Stegostoma tigrinum: one gene and its partner. The protein of the gene in region 2 purifies or fractionates together with the protein of the main gene of each other region. This does not show direct contact. Links are inferred from orthologs where the notes say so. Each region holds a gene or a part of one and is shown on either strand. Other genes may lie near its edges.

Region 1 (10,254 bases), on a different chromosome or scaffold from region 2:
CTAGTAACCAAGGAACCAGCTTGGTTTATCTCCACAGCTATAGTTCATCTGTAGTAGTTTACACATCTATCATAAAAGAATAATTTAAAACAAAGAAATTAATTCAGATCACATTAATGATATAGATGAAGGCATTAAAAGTAATATTAGCTAATTTGCTGATGACACAAAGCTGGGTGGCAGTGTGAAATGTAAGGAGGATGTTATGAGAATACAGGGTGACTTGGACAGGCTAGGTGAGTGGACGGATGCATAGCAGATGCAGTTTAACGTGGATAAATGTGAGGTTATCCACTTTGGTGGCAAGAACAGGAAGGCAGATTTCTATCTAAATGAAGTCAAGTTAGGTAAAGGGGAATTACAACGAGATCTAGGTGTTCTTGTACATTAGTCAATGAAAGCAAGCATGCAGGTACAGCAGGCAGTGAAGAAAGCTAACGGCATGCTGGCCTTCATAATAACAGTAATTGAGTATAGGAGCAAAGAGGTCCTTCTGCAGTTGTACAGGGCCCTGGTGAGACTGCATCTGGAGTATTGTGTGCAGTTTTGGTCTCCATATTTGAGGAAGGACATTCTGGCTATTGAGAGAGTGCAGCGTAGGTTCACGAGGTCAATTTCCAGAATGGTGGGACTATCATATGTTGAAAGATTGGAGCGACTGGGCTGGCATACACTTGAGTTTAGAAGGATGAGAGGGGATCTGATTGAGATGTATAAGATTATTAAGGGATTGAACACTTTGGAGGCAGGAAGCATGTTTCCGCTGACAGGTAAGTCCAGAACCAGAGGACACAGTTTAAAAATAAGGGGTAGGCCATTTAGAAAAGTTGAGGAAAACCTCTTCACCCAGAGAGTGGTGGATATATGGAATGCTCTGCCCCAGAAGGCAGTGGAGGCCAAGTCTCTGGATACTTTCAAGAAAGAGATGGATAGAGCTCTTAACGATAGTGGGATCAAGGGTTATGGGGATAAGGGAGGAACAGGATACTGACTGTGGATGATCAGCCATGATCATAATGAATGGTGGTGCTGCCTCAAAAGGCCGAATGGCCTACTCCTGCACCCATTGTCTATTGTCTATCACATTAAATTCAACGTTAGTGTTACAAGATTGATTTGCGGTCACTAGTAAATTTACAGATTAACCAAAGTTTGTGAAAAGGGAAATTGCCTTAACATAGCTGATAAGCATCCTTGACTTTTTTAAAATGCAAACTGAAGTTCACATTAGGCTATCACCTCACAATCTGGTATCACGAGACATCAGCATCTGCTCTCTCTATTATCAAAGTGTGGGTAAATTAATCACAACCATCATTTTTGTCATTCTGGTCAGATGCTCACCACTTGTTTCCGTGGATCAGCTGACCCAAACCATATGTTGTAAACAGCAGCAAGAGGAATGAAGAATGACTGTCCTTAAGGAACACACAAGTAAATAAATGAAGTTTTTAAAATCTAACCCACACTCCTTTAAGTTATTCATCATAAAAATCACAAACACCTGACCCTCAAGGAATAAAGAATGTTACTTTTTGCAACTCACCTCTTTTCCCACTTGCTCCAGCAAAGCCTTTTTATCAGTGGATTTAAATGACTGCAAGGTGTTGGTATTATACAGAGTGCCAAAAGCAGGGCAACACCGAGGTGGCGTCACAGCATTCCTAAGTGAACATGCAAAATTATTTTCTTACACCAGTAAGAAGGGTGTTAACACTTTGTTTCGGATGAACATTATTTAGTCTGAATTCAATCATATTTCTGAAGGTGTCCTTTGATTGGGTAGATTGAAATGACCCATAAGGCCACTGAACAATGTTGACTACATAAATGAAAGACTATTCTATGCTGCAGGTAATAATAGACAAATGACATTAATGCCACAAGTACATTTCAACCAATGTACCAAATTTGACATTGTGCACTTATCATATACACAATATTCTTTGGGAACTTGACAGGGTAGACGCAAAAGGGTTGCTCCTCCTTGTGGAGGAGTCTGAGAGCAGAGGGCATAATCTCAGAATAAGAGGCTGCACGTTTAAGAGAGAGATGAGGAACAATTTCTTCTCACTGAGAGTAGTGAATCAATGGGCCACATGAGGCACAGAGGTGATGCCTGCCCTCACTAAAATAATCTAATAGCATTTGTAGTCAAGGCTCACAAACAGCAAGGTGACAAACGACTGTTGGAGAGCATCGAAAAATCTGACAAGGAATCAACGTGTTTGAGACAGAACAAGCTAAAAAATGAGAGTAGTTTGTGATTTCTGCCATAAATAAAGTAGCTAGGATCTCAGCTGTAGTTCTTTCAATGCGTCCACATTGATTCTAAAGTCATGGTGATATAATAGCAGAGCTGCTCCATCCTGCACCACATTTCATTGTAACAGTGGCAGGTTCAAAATCAAAACAAAACAAAAAGCCTCACAATCACCAGAACCATATTAACAGGGGAACTGCAAACTATAAAAGATTTGTTTCATGAGAAAACTAAATTCCTGAACTAACAAACAATTGGTTGACGATTTATCTAAAACTGAATCATGGCACAGAAAATAATGCTTTCACTGCTGAATCCTTAAAGCATGAAAAGGCAGCCAACTAACAGAATACAAAATATTGCAGTTTGCTATGTTAACATTAAATTCAGCTGATAGCAAGCTTCTGGAACAAACTTTGGCAATTGAAGTTTCCAATATAGTCATGTTAATCAGATCTTAATTTAAAACTTGTATCTAAATGACACTGATATTTATAATATAACAATAGATTTACATTGCTTTTATATTTTTGATCCATTTTTAATGGAAATATCTGTTTTCTCTTATGCTACTTCCATTTGCGTTTTTACTGCAGAATGATATAAACAAGGAGCAACTGTATATGCAGCTTTTTTTCCAAAATCATGTACACACAGTCTTCAGCAATGACATTCAGATTAGCAATATTAAAAATCAATGGCCAGGCAACCAGATTAGCCTATTTGAACCTAGATTCCAAAATGTATTGTTAATTGGTCCCAGTTGGAGTTTTGGTAGCAGTAACTTATACTATCCACACCAGTATGGATTACTGTTTCTCATGGGAATAGGAGGCAGTCATTGGCACTAGAAATGAGCTGCCTACGTTACTTTCATCATCAGAAGCCACCCTGCAGCAGAACGGGGCTACTGAGGTATAATCAACATGGAAAACTGCACCCATTTTCAACTTCTGATTCATACCTATACTTAAGAGAAACAAAGAAACAGAAAACTTCACTGATAACACGTGACTCTCAATGCACATTAACTGCTTCAACCAGCACACATGCATAATCCCTTTGTCACCCCACTCACTCCAGCTATTTGTGTCTATTTCAGTTTAGGGCTCCCTAAAGCACACAAAGAAACCATAAAGTCTTTCCTTAAATCTCTAGCAGGAGCAATCAAAACTCAGTCTCAAAGTTACCAACTGGCTGCAAATTCTTTCATTAATGAATAATGGATACTGTTAGTTTGAATGAAGTTTTAAAAGGTCTGGTGGCTGGGTGACATGCTAATTGATCACAATTCAGCAGCCTCTCAACCTAAAATTTTGGCAACGCTTTAGCATCAAAATTCAGCTGCAGCAACACCTACCAGTTACAAAATAGCATTTCTTAATTTAGATTCATTCATTGTAAATAAAGCTTTTTAAAATCATATTTCAAAATGTTTCAATAATCTGTCTGGAAAGATGAAGTTTTTGGTTTTATTCAGAGGATACATACATGACAATCTATTTCCTTTTCACATTTATCCATCAATTAACAAATGTCAGAGAGAATGCAACATTTACAGTGATGTGTCAGTACAAACTAAGATAAGCTTAGAAATGAGGCAAGGCTGCCACACACGTTTATTGGCAGCAACAAAAGCTTCTTTAAAAGCACTCACTGTTTCATTGCCAAAGGCAATTCCATGTAGGTGAAGAGCAAATATTGATGTTACTGCTAATCTTTACTAAGGTTCCAATATAATGATTCAGTTTCTCAGATAGAAATAACTTTCAAAACAATTAAAACTGACACCTACTGAGATTCAACTTAAAACAAATAAGAACCACCGCAGTGATCAAAGATTAAACAAGGCACTTTTACACTCCCTCAAATGCTGCTGAAAAAGCACTGATGATCCCACAATTACTCACACATCAAATGCACTGAACTCCAAAGTTAGTCGAGTTGGCAGTCCAGCAGGATCACCTTTCAAATAAGAAAATAGATTTTATTTTGCTGCATGCTGCTTTAAAATAAGTTTTTTAAAAGTATAAAGCCAGTAATAATGCTTGATCGAGAGGTGGTGGCGGGGGGGTGCCTTTGCAAATTAAACCCAGGACAGTGCTTCCCCACTCCACCCCCGACACAGGTGCTGGTACCGTTATAGTAATAGCCCCTGATATTTCGGGGACTCTCGTCCAGTCTGTAGTCGTTCAGTTTCCTCTGAGTGAGCTCATGCCAGAAACCTGCGTCCAAAGCGCTACTGAAGGGAGCAAATTGCAACGCCGGGCGCCCGGAGCCCGTGCCGTCCATCGCGAACACTTCCGCGTTGAGCCAGCCGCCGCCTGAGGCGCAGTTCGTCCGTCACACCGCTCGGCGCAGACAGATGACATCACCGGGACAGCCCCGCCCCGTACCACCGCGGGGCGAAGCGAGGGGTTTTCAGGTCCATGTAAGATCCATGTCCTGTCTGTGTGGAGTTTGCACATTCTCCCCGTGTCTGCGTGGGTTTCCTCCGGGTGCTCCGGTTTCCTCCCACAGTCCAAAGATGTGTAGGTTAGGTGGATCGGCCATGTTAAATTACCCATAGTGTACAGGGGTGTGTGGGTTTGGGGGGGATGGGTCTGGGTGGGATGCTCCAAGGGGTGGTGTGGACTTGTTGGGCTGAAGGGCCTGTTTCCACACTGTAGGGAATCTAAAAAAAGACCCTTCCACCATTTCTGTCAGATTCTGCAGAAAAACTAAAACCAAACAAAAACTCCTTCCTAAACTCTGAATGACTCTTGGCTGCAGCAACTGCCATTATTTGGAAGGGCAGACATCCTGAACTCACTGAGTTGTACATGTTTACAAATTGCAAATACTCACACGTAGCAAAGGATGCCCGGAGTGTGGAATATAACAAACTGTGTTGCTGAGCCATAGAAAGAAGCTTGTGCTCAGACGATCAAAATTTAGTCAGCACGATTTTGAGAAAAATGTCTCTAGAAGAAAGCACGTTACAGTGTTGGAGAGCTGGAAGGGCAGAATTTTGGAGCTCTTGATCTAGGCCACCTACAGCAATTCCATCATTGGTAAAGCAGTTATGATTGTGAATGCATAAGAGATCAGAATTTGAGACGCATGGAAAACCCAACTAGTCTTGAACTTTTGAGAAAAATGTCTCTAGAAGAATGCCTCTCTGCTGGTATGCAGTATACCTTTAAGAGAAATAAAAAAAAGTTTGAAGGACAGTCATATCACACTCAAAATGTTAACTCTGTTTCTCTCTTCTCAAATGCTGCCAGACATGCTGAGTTTCTCCAGCACTGTTTTTGTTTGAGATTCCCAGTGTCTGTATTCTACTTTATTATACCTTTAAGATACACAAAAAGTAGCAGCACCATGTATAGCATCTGACCGTTATTCATTTTGTGAGATGAGAGTTTCACTGGCTGGCCAGCATTTATTGGCCATTGATAGTTGCCCTTGAGAAGTTGTCCTTGGTGGCGAGTTGTCTTCTTGAGCAGCTGCAGTCCTCCTGCTGTGGGTTGACCCACAATGTCATTAGCAGGCGAATTCCAGGATTTGGACTGAGTAACAATGAAGGAATGGCAATATATTTCCAAGTCAGGTTGGTGAGTGACTTGGAAGGGAACTTGAAGGTGGTAGTGTTCCCATAAATATATTGTCCTTGTCCTCCTAGATGGAAGTGGTTGTGGGGTTTGGCAGGCACTGTCTGTGGATCTTTGGTGAATTTCTGCAGTGCATCTTGTAGACAGTACACGCTGCTGCTACTGAATGTCAGTGGTGGAGGGAGTAGATGCTGGTGGATACAGTGCCAATCAAGCGGGCTGCTTTATCCTGGATGGTGTCAAGCTTTTGTACGTTGCTGGAGTTGCACTCATCCAGACAAGTGAGGAGTGTTCCATCACACTCCTAACTTGTGCCTTGTAGATGTTGGAAAGGCTTTGAGGCGTCAGGAGGTGATTTATTTGCCGCAGTATTTCTAGCCTCTGACCTGCACTTGTAGCCGCTGAGCTTAATGTGGTGAGTCCAGTTGAGCTTCTGATCAATGATAACTCCCAGGACATTGACACTGAGGGATTCAGTGATGGCAACACCATTGAATGTCAAGAGGCAGTGGTTCGATTGCATCTTATTGGTGATGGTCATATCCCGGCACTTGTGTGCCATGAATGTTACTTGCCACTTGTCAGCCCAAACCTGGATATTTACAGATCTTGTTGCATTTGGACACAGATTGCTTCAGTATCTGAGGAGTCATGCATGGTGCTGAACATTGTGCAATCTTCGGCCAACATTCCCACTTCTGACCTCATGATGGAGGGAAGTTCATTGATGAAGCAGCTGAAGATGGTTAGCCTGAGAACACTACCCTGAGGAACTCCCACAGAGATGCCCTGGAGCTGAGATAACTGACCTCCAACAATCACGACTTTCTTGCTATGTGTCATGTATGATGCTAACCACCAGTTTTCCCCCTATTACCCACTGATTCCTGTTTAGCGAAGGCTGTTTGATGCCACATTTGGTCGAATGCAGCCTTGATGTCAAGGACTATCACTGTCACCTCACCTTTGAAATTCAACTCTTTTATCCATGTTTGAACCATGGCTATAATCACCTCACCTTTGAAATTCAACTCTTTTATCCATGTTTGAACCATGGCTATAATCACCTCACCTTTGAAATTCGACTCTTTTATCCATGTTTGAACCATGGCTATAATGAGGTCAGAAGCTGAGTATCCCTAGCAGAACCCAAATAGGGCATCACTGAGCAGGTTATTGCTGAGCATGTGCTGCTTGATAACACTGTTGATGACACCTTCCTTCACTTTACTGATGATCAACAATACAGTGATGGGACGGTAATTGGCCAGGTTGGATTTGTCCTGCTTATTATGTACAGGATATACTTGGGCAATTTTCCACAATATCAGGTAGATGCCAGTGTTGAACTCTACTGGAATGGCTTGGCTAGGGGAGCAGCGAGTTCTGGAACCCAAGTCTTCAGTACTAATGCTAGAATGTTGTCAGAGCACAGGCCTTTTTTAGTATCCAGTGCCTCTAACTGTTTCTTGAAATCATGTGGAGTGAATCGAATTGGCATCAAGACTGGTAATTGTAATGCTGGGGACTACTGGAACAGGCCAAGATGGATCATCCACTCTTTTCCAGTGCCGAGGTCAATGCCAGGTGATCTGGTTTCATTTCTTTGTAGTGATTGGTACAACTGAATGGTTTCCTAGGCCATTTCAGTGGGCAATTAAGAGTCAACCACATTGCTTTAGGTTGGGGTCACACGGAGACCATACCAGGTGAGGATGGCAGATACTTTAAGAGTCTTGGAGCCCATCTTAGTCCATGACTGTAATATATGTTTATATCAGGTGTAATAAATGGCAATTAAATCTTTCAGGACTACTTCAGCCATACATCAAGCTCTTATGTTAAAATAATTAATGCACGTTTTGCCCCATCTGGTACAAGTAACTCGACAAAACCAGGAATAAAAAAGTCACCTAACTGGTTGGTTGTCATAAAAAAATCTCACTGTTTAATGTGCTTCATGAAAGGAAATCTGCTATGTGTTCCTGACCCTAGCCTCTTGTGACTCCAAAATATTGTAACTCTTTGACTCTTAATTGCTCTGTGGGCAAAATATGGTTACAAAGGGTTGCCAGCTTTATTTGGAAGAATAAATACTTGATAATTCATAACTTAACCATTAGAAAAGGAGACCTGAAAGTGAAACCGCTTCCGATTCCCTGGCCCCCAACACCTCATTTTCACCATGGACGTCCAGTTCCTATACACCTGTATTCCGCAAGCAGATGGCCTCAAGGCCCTCCGCTTCTTCCTGTCCCGCAGGCCCGACCAGTCCCCCTCCACTGACACCCTCATCCGCATAGCCGAACTCGTCCTCACCCTCAACAACTTTTCTTTCGATTCCTCCCACTTCCTACAGACAAAAGGGGTGGCCATGGGCACCCGCATGGGCCCCAGCTATCCCTGCCTCTTTGTAGGTTATGTGGAACAGTCCCTCTTCTGCACCTACACAGGCCCCAAACCCCATCTCTTCCTCCATTACATTGATGACTGTATCGGCGCCACCTCTTGCTCCCCAGAGGACCTCGAACAGTTCATCCACTTCACCAACAACTTCCACCCCAACCTTCAGTTCACCTGGGCCATCTCCAGCACATCCCTCACCTTCCTGGACCTCTCAGTCTCCATCTCAGGCAACCAGCTTGTAACTGATGTCCGTTTCAAATCCACCGACTCCCACAGCTACCTAGAATACACCTCCTCCCACCCACCCTCCTGCAAAAATTCCATCCCCGTTCCCAATTCCTCTGCCTCCGCCGCATCTGCTCCCACGATGAGGCATTCCACTCCCGCACATCCCAGATGTCCAAATTCTTCAAGGACCACAACTTTCCCCCCATAGTGGTCGAGGACGCCCTTGACCGCGTCTCCCGCATTTCCCGCAACACATCCCTCACACCCCGCCCCCGCCACAACTGCCCAAAGAGGATCCCCCTCGTTCTCACACACCACCCCACCAACCTCCGGATACAACGCATCATCCTCCGACACTTCCGCCATCTACAATGCGACCCCACCACCCAAGACATTTTTCCGTCCCCACCCTTGTCAGCTTTCCAGAGAGACCACTCTCTCCGTGACTCCCTTGTTCGCTCCACACTGCCCTCCAATTCCACCACACCCGGCACCTTCCCCTGCCACCGCAGGAAATGCTACACTTGCCCCCACACCTCCTCCCTCACCCCTATCCCAGGCCCCAAGATGACTTTCCATATTAAGCAGAGGTTCACCTGCACATCTGCCAATGTGGTATACTGCATCCATTGTACCCGGTGTGGCTACCTCTACATTGGGGAAACCAAGCGGAGGCTTGGGGACCGCTTTGCAGAACACCTCCGCTTCGTTCGCAATAAGCAACTGCACCTCCCAGTCGCAAACCATTTCCACTCCCCCTCCCATTCTTTAGATGACATGTCCATCATGGGCCTCCTGCAGTGCCACAGTGATGCCACCCGAAGGTTGCAGGAACAGCAACTCATATTCCACTTGGGAACCCTGCAGCCCAATGGCATCAATGTGGACTTCACCAGCTTCAAAATCTCCCCTTCCCCCACCGCATCCCAAAACCAGCCCAGTTCGTCCCCTCCCCCGACTGCACCATACAACCAGCCCAGCTCTTCCCCTCCACCCACTGCATCCCAAAACCAGTCCAACCAGTCTCTGCCTCCCTAATCTGTTCTTCCTCTCACCCATCCCTTCCTCCCACCCCAAGCTGCACCTCCATCTCCTACCTACTAACCTCATCCCGCTTCCTTGACCTGTCTGTCTTCCCTGGACTGACCTATCCCCTCCCTACCTCCCCACCTATACTCTCCTCTCCACCTGTCTTCTTTTCTCTCCATCTTCGGTCCGCCTCCCCCTCTCTCCCTATTTATTCCAGAACCCTCTCCCCATCCCCCTCTCTGATGAAGGGTCGAAGCCCGAAACGTCAGCGTTTGTGCTCCTGAGATGCTGCTTGGCCTGCTGTGTTCATCCAGCCTCACATTGTATTATCATGGAAAAGATACCTTTTTATGGAACTTTTTGTGTAACTGGTCTATCTCTTCAATATCATTGGACTAGTTATAAATAAAGATATAACTTTCACTTCATTGCAAGAATAAGTCAATTGCAATCAAGCTTAATTTCTTAGCAATTTCTATTTCCACTTCTTCAGGAGAACAAGCCACACTTTAATTGTATTTTATGTGATAGTTTATCATGTTGTTGAGATTAAAAATAAATTTTGTCATGTTTGTCCTTCATGTTTGTCATGAAGACACCGAGAACCGTGCAGTCTTTGGTCATTCTAATGTTACTATAAAGAAAAGCACAGTTTAAAAACATTAACAGTACAATTTAGAGTATTACTCATTGTCTTATTTAATATATGGCATTTCTTCGTCAGAGGGTTACTTT
Region 2 (11,030 bases):
CATAAACAGAAGCTGCTGGAAAAGCTCAGCAGGTCTGGCAGCACCTGCGAAGAAAAAAAAATCAGAGTTAACATTTTGGGTCCAGTTACCTCAGAACTGAGGGAAGGTCACTGGACCTGAAATGATCTTTTTTCTTTGCAGATGCTGCCAGACATGCTGAGTTTTTCCAGCAGCTTCTGTTTTTGTTCTTGATTTACAGTATCTGCAGTTCCTTTGCTTTTTATAAATATTAAAAACGTTGGAAACTTGAAACCGGATTGCAAGTAATTAAAAATAATTTCAACTTTTCATTTAGGTATCAAAAGGATTTGAATTTCAGACTCACCATAAAATCTAACACTTACTTACTGCAGGTTCTTTTTCCTATCTATAATTACTATCCAATAAGATAGTATTCAAATTGTCATCAATTAACCATTAAAAGATAAGCTGCAGTTTTCTGAACAGGTATACCTTCAAATATTTCGAGTGAAACTTCAAATAAATTCCTACTTTGAAAATAAGTCTAGGAAGTTTTCTCAACTCAAAAATCAGGAGTAACAGGGCAATTTATATTTGTGTGTAAATGCTTCTCCACAAAAGAGTATCCAACAATTATACAATTAGAAATATGTCCAATAATGGAGCACTCTATTTCATAACTTAAATCACAGGCAGACAAAAAGAGTTGAGTAAAAGGAGAGAGGCCATGGAGATCTGAACTACTTGCTTAAATAATAAGTGGGTGATCAACATATGAATCCTTTTCCAAGCAGAGTTGACTAGTCAAGTGCTACTTACAAAAGAAGGGGGAAAAGTTGGCAGCTGTTCATGTTATGGCAGAAGTCAGACAGTTCCACTTGTATAGTACTGCTGCTATAATGCAGCTTATATTTATGAGTATTTTGACTCAAACTCTATTTATGCTTAAATAATGTGCTGGAACATAGCTGCTTTCAGTTGGCAGTTTCCATTTGCTCTGTTTTACAGCTATATCATTCTCATGAATCTCCTGAAAATAATGGGAAAGTACAAAAGTATATGTAACTTTTGAAAAAAAGTAAACTGTATATTTTACAATTAGTCACTATTCGAAAGTCAATTCCCCTCACTCATTTGCCACTCAATCAGCAGTCAGGTTTGTCAAGAAATGAGTCATGGGCTATGGTGTTGGAGGTAAGGTTAATAAAGTGGGATTGAAAACCAGTTTAGTCATAATATTGTGGATCTGGCTGGCAGGGCCGAAAGGCCTAATCTTGCCCCTAAACCCAATATTCCTAAACTCTATCAGTGATAATGGGAACTGCAGATGCTGGAGAATCCAAGATAATAAAATGTGAGGCTGGATGAACACAGCAGGCCCAGCAGCATCTCAGGAGCACAAAAGCTGACGTTTCGGGCCTAGACCCTTTGCTTGTTTTTTTTTTGTATGGTATGCACCCCCGTAGAACAGAGTCAGGACTTAGAACATGGCTCCAGTGCCAAAAAGAAGGCAGAAGTAAAAAAAAATCTCATTGTACCAGAATGTGAACCACAGATCTGTCATCTTCAGCACCTCTATGAACATGTCATTGAGTACTAATACATTTGACATTGATGCATTTGGTCTGATGACTTCAAAGTCACTGCAATGGTTACTGAATGGAATCAATATTTTATTCCACCATATTTAAAATATTAAGACATTTTAATAAGCGATATTCACCGGTGCAATTGTAATTTGAGCTGGAGCCACCCAACGTCTGCACCTGCCAGGCTCCAAAACAAATGACTAAGAAGGGTATTTTCTATTATATAAAAGAAGTTCCATGCCTCAAAAGGTCCGTCATTATTAGAGTTTACAGGACAGGTAATTCCCACCTAATGACTTAATTTATATTCCAAGCTGGTAGTAACGTAAACATTGAACAGTTCAAATGGGTTCAAATGAGTCAATTCTGAAAAATGTGTTATTTTCCAATCTATAAGGAAATGCATCACTGCTTATTGTGGCTGTTTTGCCGGAAGATGTAAAAATAACGAACCGTTCCGCTAGCTGGTGCTGTTTTTTTCGCTCAACAAAGAGTATAGCACAATTCATTTGACAGAAACGTCAAATCCATTTCCATTCTGATATCAAAAACAAGTCTGCGCCACAAAACATAGAAAATACAGCTACAAAAACACATGAAACTGTTCCAAGTTGGTGCCAGTCACGAAAGAAAGCGGAAAGCCGACAAAGGAACAGCTCACAATCTGACTCGAAGTTTTTCTTATTTATCTGAGCCGTTTTCCTTTTTGTCCCCAAAACTACGATTGCCCCTTCTCCAAAAATGTGGAAAAATACATAACCAACGTGAGCCTAGTTTCCCGACAAAAGGGAAGGAGAGGATGGTGGAGGAAAGCGGGAGGAGGTTAGAATTACAATTCGTCGAGATCTTTGCGTAACTTTGGTTTCTGTCAATGAGTCAGTCTCTCTCCTCCTCCCCCCCGCCACCGCCGCCTGTCACTGGACTGATACATCGCTCCGCGAAACGTCAAGCTTGCCTTCCCCGAACGATCGGCAGAGGGCTCTACCCAACCGGAGCCGCAAATGCCCTTGCAAGCCCCACGCGGTGACACTGTTAGTCCAATCACGTCAGGGCAAGGGCGGGACCAAGCAAGGGCAGCAGGTTAGGATGCGGATGTGAGTGACGGACGCGTGCGATCCTGATTGAAACAACAACATTCAGGGACAAACTGGCAGATGCGACCGGCCGACTGCATGCGTGATTCATCCAACAACTATGATTCCTATTGTACCGACATGACAAAATGACTAACACACAGAGCGAGGGAGAAAGAAAGGCTCCATATCAGGTCAGACAAAAATCAGGGCTGCAAGACTGTTTCCACTTAAAAACTTTAAAAAACGAGAAAAGAAATGATGCGCCGTTTGGATATTGCGATGCACTCCAAACTAATGTCCGCCCCAAGATTCAGAGGCCATGGACATACAAGTTAAAGTGCATTCGAGAGGTGCAAACCAAACCACACCACAGACTTCAATGTGAACATGGGGCCCGGGGTGGTCATTTAAATGCAAGTCAACCAATTAAACTTTTTGAACCGGATATATACAGTACGGTATTTTGGCAACATTTTTAAGTCTTTGGTTTAAACATGTGCGCAACTAATCTCGGACTTCCTTAGCGCATTTTAAAAAAGGGTATCACGCTACAGATTTCCATTACCTTGTCTTGCTCTTCAAAAATGCTGGCTATCCCCTGTCTTACTAGCAATTTCAAATACGACAGATTCATGATTGTTCAAGCAATGCTACCTCTTGCATCGAGTCCTGTATATACTAAATCGCCATAATGGTCTGGGTTGAATTAATAATGCAGCTCATGGGAAAACCGAGAGCTGCTCAACAGTTAACATTTATTCCGAATATTTCTGACATTCTCTTCCTCACTAGTCCGTCGTTAGTATCTTCCGCCCCCACCCCTTCGAAAGAGAAATTAATTGCTGGCCATACAGAAATCTACCATGAACCTATATAATGGCACAAAACTGTTCTATTTGGTTTGGGAAACTGGGAACGTACGTCAGACAGTATTGATTTATTTACACGTCACTCGGCCAAGGCTATACATGTTGTGACAATAATGAAAAATTAAAAATAAAAGACAGTGCGTGTTCATCAGGGCAGAATTTCCTGACTTTCTAACCCTGATTTGTTGTGGAAGATGCTATCCGTTTTCTTTCTCAACTTTCATGTTGGAAATCCACCGTGAAGCGATCAGTGTTTGAGAGAGAGCAGCCGCTTACCTAATCGGCAATTCCTTGGTAACTAAGTAGACCCACTAGAACTGTTTTGATCACACGTGCGATTTTCCACTGAACACAATATTATCCCACTCTCCAAAACAGGTGATAAAATATGATAAAATTGGCGACCTTCATCTCTGCGGGCTGCACAATCTATGATTAGCAGTAAATCATTTAAAAGGTTCAGCTTTTTTTAAAAACAGCTGTATTTTGCAGTCCTGAAAGCGGAATATTTAAACAGTCTCAGATCTTTGAGAGTCATTCCTATCATTCCCATCAGACTTCCTTCCTGCTGGACAACAACCGGCGCTAAGTGGATTTGGGAAATAGAATAACCTTACAATATCGATTCAACCAAAACTTGTGTTCCTAAACAAAAACTGAACTGGTTTTATTTAACGTGTATATACGTATGTTACAAAGTTTAAAAGATTTTAAACCAAATACTATTTTGCACCCACCTTCCACCCAGCAGAGCTGTTACTGTCTCCTTTATCCTTGAAGTAGGGGACGCTCCTGACCATCCAGTCATAGATTTGGGATAAGGTGAGCCTCTTCTCCGGGGAGCTCTCGATAGCTTTGGTGATGAGGTCGGCATATGATAGGTTCCCCCAAGCGTTTCTCCGAGATGAACTGCTCTTTCTCTGGGCTGCCGAAGCGGCCCCGGCCGAGGGGACTTGCTGCTGCTGCTGCTGCTGCTGCTGGTGCTGGTGGTGGTGCTGGTGCTGATGTTGATGGTGACAGCCATCCTGATGTTGTTGATGCTGACACTGGAAGTCACCGCAGCAATCCAGTCCGAGAACGGCGGGCTTCTGCTCATAGTCCTCGTCCTGCTCCTCCAGCACCAGAGCCGGCGATACCGAAGCGCTCGCCCGGCCGGCCCCTTCCGGGGTCAGGTTGAACTCGCTCTGCCCTTCTTGCTTCACCGAAGCCGGGGACGACGCGCAGCTGAAATCCGGCCGGGGTAAGGGCCAGGTGCAGGAACGGGGCCGGGATTGCGGCTCGAAATCGGGGTCGATCTCTACGACCTGTTGCAGCGGCGGTGCCTCGGCCATGACTGAAGTTTTGAAGTTTGTTTTCCTCCCTCTGTCTCTCTCTAAATGTCTGTCTGTCTCTATTCCCCCCCCACCCCACCTTTCTCTCTCAGCTTTAAACACAACACGCGAGGAGTAAAAAAAAACTTTTCCTTCTGAAAAAAAAGTTACTTCGTCGCTTGGGGCAGCAAGAAAAATATAATGTCCCTCCTGACAAAAAAAACTCTAAAAAAGACCGATTTCCAACAACAGAAAAGAAGCCACACAGAAAACAAGCACAAAACGATCTATTTGCTACTACACGTTGACAAAACACTAATAACAATAATAACGCTCATAGACCTTCCTGACCCTGTCGTACCATTTGTCCTACTTTCCTCTCTCTGTACAGACAAGCGCTGTATTGTACTCCGGGCCGAGCCGCCTAACCTGATGGCTCTGCGTGACAAAGGGAGAGGGCGGAGACAGCCTGACGGGCGGCTGGGTGATCCAATCGACATCGCAAGCCGGGGGCCACTGGCCAATGGAATTCCAGGAGACCCTGGAACCTTCCCGCCCCCTTCTTTCCTCTCCCCCGCCTCAAACACTGGCTCCCCCCGCCCCCCACCTCCTAATTCAAGTTAGGTTGATGAGGCGGAGCTCATCAAAGTCCGCCCACCAACATGAGTAAACACATGGTGGGGAGCTTACTCACGCATAAAAACAAACACGTACAGACACACAGCCATTTTGACAGCCCGACAGTGGACTTCATATCTGAAAAATGAAACAGGTTACGGAGAGGACGGCTAGAGAGAGGTTTGAAGTCCCCCAGGAACTCAAGGGAACGTGTTTGCTCCCGACCGAACATGGTGGCTTTGCAAAATCCAGAAGGACGGTGTCATTTATTCAAGTCCTGAAAATTAAAGTCGACAGACGTGCACCCAGCCTAATTCGATTTGCGGGGCAGCCTTTGAAAACTCTACAACCTGAATCTAACAGTGATTTTGGGAAAGTGCGTGAGAATGCCTGAGGCTGCACGCCCTGTTCTCCAGCAGACCTGTAGTATTTCTGGAACAGTGGTTAACCAACGTCAAATATTGACAGATTTCTTACCCCCCCCGAAAAAAAACCTGAGTCACTTCCTCACCGACAAATGGACCAGACACCCGACTTCAGTCCTGAAATTAGTTCAATCTGGAGTTTGTTTACTTGGAATATATTCTGCATTTTGTGGATCAGAACTGAATCCCTGAGTTCAACACGAGTTCACTCTAACTTTGTCACCCGTGTCAATACGGTTTGAGCTCCGCCTCCGACGTTACCTGTTAGAAGGAGAGACATATGTTGTTCCCTTTAAAGTTGACAGATTTGAACGCGATGACTAAAATGGTGATATGTTTTCTTTTAAAAAAAATAATAACTTCACAATGATGTTGAAGTTCAAAGAAGGTTGGAACAGCGACAATAGATGTAATCAGTTTGCATATTTTGGCTTCGTTTCGAAGCTAAATCTAAAGGAAGGCGTTGAAATTAGACACGATAAATCCTTTAAATGCTGAGGTTTTATCGAGAAGAAAATATTTTCTAAATAGGAACTACCATGTCAGACTATCGCAAATTTTCTTCCGTTCACAGCATGTCAACCAAACGATTCCACATCTAAAGCAATCCTAAAACGGTGTTTTATTTCTGTTTACCGGACCCGTCTCCATCCGAAACGTCAGCTTTTGTGCTCCTGAGATGCTGCTTGGCCTGCTGTGTTCATCCAGCTCCACACTTTGTTATCTTGGATTCTGCAGCATCCGCAGTTTCCATTATCACTCCATCTATTCACAAGTCGTTACACTGCAATCTCCCTGAAAGCACTTCTGCTGGTTACATCTACAGTACCAACTCAATCAAGCTTACCCTACCTGAAATTAAAACATACTTTCAAAGGATATTCATGTCAGAGATTAGTCAAAGCAGCTAAAATATTTTACCAACTCAACTGGCACGTGGGCCTAATTTTGACATTTCCAACGTAATTTGTACATAAGCGACGATAAACATTTCCATAAGAAGCATTTAAATAATCGAACACTTCAATCAAAATCGAAAGCAGAAATAACGCCCTGAAGCATGCGGGAAATGTGTTGAATGCTACAAAGAGAAAAAGTTCATGGGAGCATTATGACAATCTTGGGTCACCTTAACTGAGCAGCAGGTGTTGGATTAATGATTAGTGTAGCTGATGCATTTTCACCGACAGATTGATTATGATATTAAAAGTTGATTCCAAAAAAATCAATAATGTACTTGGGCCATGACATAACATTTAATGTACACATTATTGCCATAAGATTAATTAAAGCTGCAAGTCAGAGGCTATTATATAAAAGCTTTAAATTTCAAAAGGCTACAATGTTACTTATAGTAAAATGAATATTTGCCAATATTTTTGCAATTAACAATTCTTGGGATTACTTGCATTTCCTGAACTTTTGTGACTGCAATGTAAACACAGTTAAAAATAATGTTGTCACCTAACTTTTTCTCCCCCAATGGTCTTCTTTCTCTTCCGCAGGATGTGACTCTTCCACAGGTGCCAGTGACACTTAAGTATCTAATCATTCTTCATAAATATTCCTGACATTGAATGTTCATAGGTTTTCCACTCTTAGTGGCTCCACAACCAGATGCATGCCCATTCTTACATGATGTACACATGCACATGTTTTCCAATAAGAATCAGTGAACAACTGAACATCAGCTTTCCTACAGTCAATTATCATCTGACAACTGCTAAAACCGACATCCTTCTCTCATAGTCCCCCTGCACCTCATACTGCAGTTCCAGCTGAGATCAACTAACTCAACAAAAATTGGGACAATAGTATTTACAAAGTGGAGATAAAATTATGGGTTTAATTTCCATTGTGATCATGAACGTTTGTAGTATGAACCTGTGCAACAGTGTTCTTCCTACTTCACGTTTTTTGTTCTTCCTAGTCCATACTTATGAATTGAAATTGTCATCATTCACATACTTTGTTAATTTCTCTCTAGCTGTTCTCTCTTGTTCAATAGCATTCTGCCTAACTGGAAATTAACATTCATGCTTTACCCTTGCACAGGTTTAATATTTATAAATAAATATTTGTGATGGACTGACCTACAGTGATCAAAACACACATCTTCCAATTACAGGACTTGGATCCAGATTCAGCCCAGATTGCTCCTATGTGTACCATCCATTTACTGGACAAAAAGTGAGATTGAATCCAGATTTTAGCTGGATAGGCCTCAGTATAAAATTTCTAATCTTATTGGAAGTAACACTGAAAAGCTGGAGTGAAAATTGGACAAACATTATCTTGATGCACTAAGGAATGCTCTCGGTGCTGAGTTCGGGAAGAATTACAGTAAAGTTTTCCTCAGGAATATGGTATAACTAACCTGAAATAAGAGGTTGTTCCATACCCAGGCCCTTAACACCAATGGTACCCTACATATTTCTAACCATAATGCAGTTGGATTGTTTTGTTCTTTTGTACTCCGGCCTACTCGATGAGGTCTCTTTTTATACATTTCCACTATGTTTTTGGCTGCTACTTAGTCCATGTGCTCCAGGTGTGTCACCAACAATGCCTGTTTGCTCAGAACGTTGTTTTCAGATTTGAACATGATCCCAAGATGATGAACACTTTCCCTTCCGTGTTTTTTTCTAAACATAGTAATAATGATGACACTGGACAAGAGTTCTTGATTTTGTAAGTCCAAGAGTCCAGTGTCACTAATTAAATATCAATTATTGACAGAATGTGCCCAGCAATCTAGTTCAACACAGTTAAAAAACAGTTTTGTAACAAATATTCTTCTGATCTTGCTGACATATAATTTACTAGTATATTGTGTCTTTAACATAAATAACAACTTCCCAATGTCTCCACGCACACAATGAGACAAAATTTGAAAGCAAGTCTCATAAGGAGTTATTAGGATCGATTTAGAGGAGGAGACAGAGAATGAGGGCCGGGGGGTTTGGGATGTAATTCAGATTTAGGGCTTGGGATGCTGAAGGCATGGACATTGATGGTGGTGAAATTAAAACCAGTGGATGGAGTAAGAAATCAAAATCGGAAAAGCATTAAGACCTTGGAAAGTTAGGTTGGAGATAGGGAAAGGCAAAGCCTAATGGGGATTTGAACACAAAAATGAACATTTTAAAATCAAGACTTTGCTGACTGGGAGCTAATGTAAATTAGCTGGCAAAGGGAGGATACGTGAACTGGACTGAGCGTGAATTAGGATGTGGACATCAGCATTTCAAATAAACTCTATTTTACAGACAATAGAAAGTGGCAAGCTGGCCTATAGAGTAATAGTTGAGATTGGTAGTAACAAGGCAGGATTCCAGCTGCAGGTGAGCTCAAGTAGGGATGGAGAGAACTGCTATTACAGCGCTGACAGTAGACCATCTTGGTTTTGAAGATGAAATGATGTTGATAGCTTAGTTCAAAATCGTTAAGGATGATGAGGTTGCTAACAGTCTGATTCAGCCTTAGACAATGGCCACTAAGCAGGATGGAACTGTTGACTAAAGAATGGAGTTTGCGGCAGGACTCTGGCCTTCACAGTAGTTAAATACCTTCTTGTTAACCACGTTATACTTTCATGCCTGAGACAGCGTAACAACAATCTATTAGCCTTTGAAGAAATAGAATTGCATTCCGACATATATGTTTTAAATCATTATTAAATGAAGTGACAATATTTTAACATGTACTCAAAATCTAGGCTCAATTCCTTCTTTTGAATGCATTAACTAATCCCAACTGGGACAGGGGAGGAGTGTTATATTTTGCCCTGAATGCTCTGAACAAAGAGGGACCAAAATACTGCTTGCTATCCAGTCATTTATGTGCAAAACACCTGTGAATTAAAGCATGACATTCCCATGATAAAAAGATTCTTGATGACACTTATTCTCAAGGTGTGTGCATGAATAATAGTGTCTTGGGTGAGGCAATGATGAGCAACTGCACTCTCACAATGAGTCAACACCCTTCAGGGACAGAAGATCAGAAAATGGCTAAGAATTCCACTAACCAAAAAGTAAATAAAACTAAGTTTGTAGTGAATGAAACCTTTGAAGAGCAGGTGTGCATGCTGGAATGGATAGAGATAGAGGAAGCTGATGTACTGAAAATTTTGTCAAACATTAAGATTGACAAGTCGCCAGGCCCGGACCAGATTTGTCCTCGGCCTCTTTGGGAAGCGAGAAATGCAATTGCTTCGCCGCTTGCGAAGATCTTTGCATCCTCGCTGTCCACTGGAGTCGTACCTGAGGACTGGAGAGAGGCAAATGTAATTCCTCTCTTCAAGAAAGGAAATAGGGAAATCCCCGGCAATTATAGACCGGTAAGTCTCACGTCTGTCGTCTGCAAGGTGTTAGAAAGGATTCTGAGGGATAAGATTTATGACCATCTGGAAGAGCATGGCTTGATCAAATACAGTCAACACGGCTTTGTGAGGGGTAGGTCATGTCTTACAAACCTTATCGAGTTTTTTGAGGATGTGACTAGAAAAGTTGATGAGGGTCGAGCTGTGGATGTGGTGTATATGGACTTCAGTAAGGCATTTGATAAGGTTCCCCATGGTAGGCTCATTCAGAAGGTCAGGAGGAATGGGATACAGGGGAACTTGGCTGCTTGGATACAGAATTGGCTGGCCAACAGAAGACAGCGAGTGGTAGTAGAAGGAAAATATTCTGCCTGGAAGTCAGTGGTGAGTGGGGTTCCACAGGGCTCTGTCCTTGGGCCTCTACTGTTTGTAATTTTTATTAATGACTTGGATGAGGGGATTGAAGGATGGGTCAGCAAGTTTGCAGACGACACAAAGGTCGGAGGTGTCGTTGACAGTGTAGAGGGCTGTTGTAGGCTGCAGCGGGACATTGACAGGATGCAGAGATGGGCTGAGAGGTGGCAGATGGAGTTCAACCTGGATAAATGCGAGGTGATGCATTTTGGAAGGTCGAATTTGAAAGCTGAGTACAGGATTAAGGATAGGATTCTTGGCAGCGTGGAGGAACAGAGGGATTTTGGTGTGCAGATACATAGATCCCTTAAAATGGCCACCCAAGTGGACAGGGTTGTTAAGAAAGCATATGGTGTTTTGGCTTTCATTAACAGGGGGCTTGAGTTTAAGAGTCGTGAGATCTTGTTGCAGCTCTATAAAACTTTGGTTAGACTGCACTTGGAA

Evidence for each region. Proteins that work in one complex are often made in the same cells at the same time.
Region 1: the proteins of foxo1a (region 2) and atg7 purify together in Homo sapiens (affinity purification with western blotting; 4 studies listed by BioGRID). This does not show direct contact. The link is inferred for Stegostoma tigrinum from reciprocal best matches to the Homo sapiens genes FOXO1 and ATG7.

Annotation. Positions count from the first base shown.
Region 1 is NC_081364.1:23,883,198-23,893,451, reverse strand, and holds the start of atg7 (ubiquitin-like modifier-activating enzyme ATG7), read right to left. Parts: upstream 4,601-10,254; 5' UTR 4,556-4,600; coding exon 4,402-4,555; intron 4,229-4,401; coding exon 4,174-4,228; intron 1,665-4,173; coding exon 1,547-1,664; intron 1-1,546. UniProt on the Homo sapiens protein: E1-like activating enzyme involved in the 2 ubiquitin-like systems required for cytoplasm to vacuole transport (Cvt) and autophagy.
Region 2 is NC_081359.1:88,062,964-88,073,993, forward strand, and holds the start of foxo1a (forkhead box protein O1-A), read right to left. Parts: upstream 5,230-11,030; 5' UTR 4,827-5,229; coding exon 4,233-4,826; intron 1-4,232. UniProt on the Homo sapiens protein: Transcription factor that is the main target of insulin signaling and regulates metabolic homeostasis in response to oxidative stress.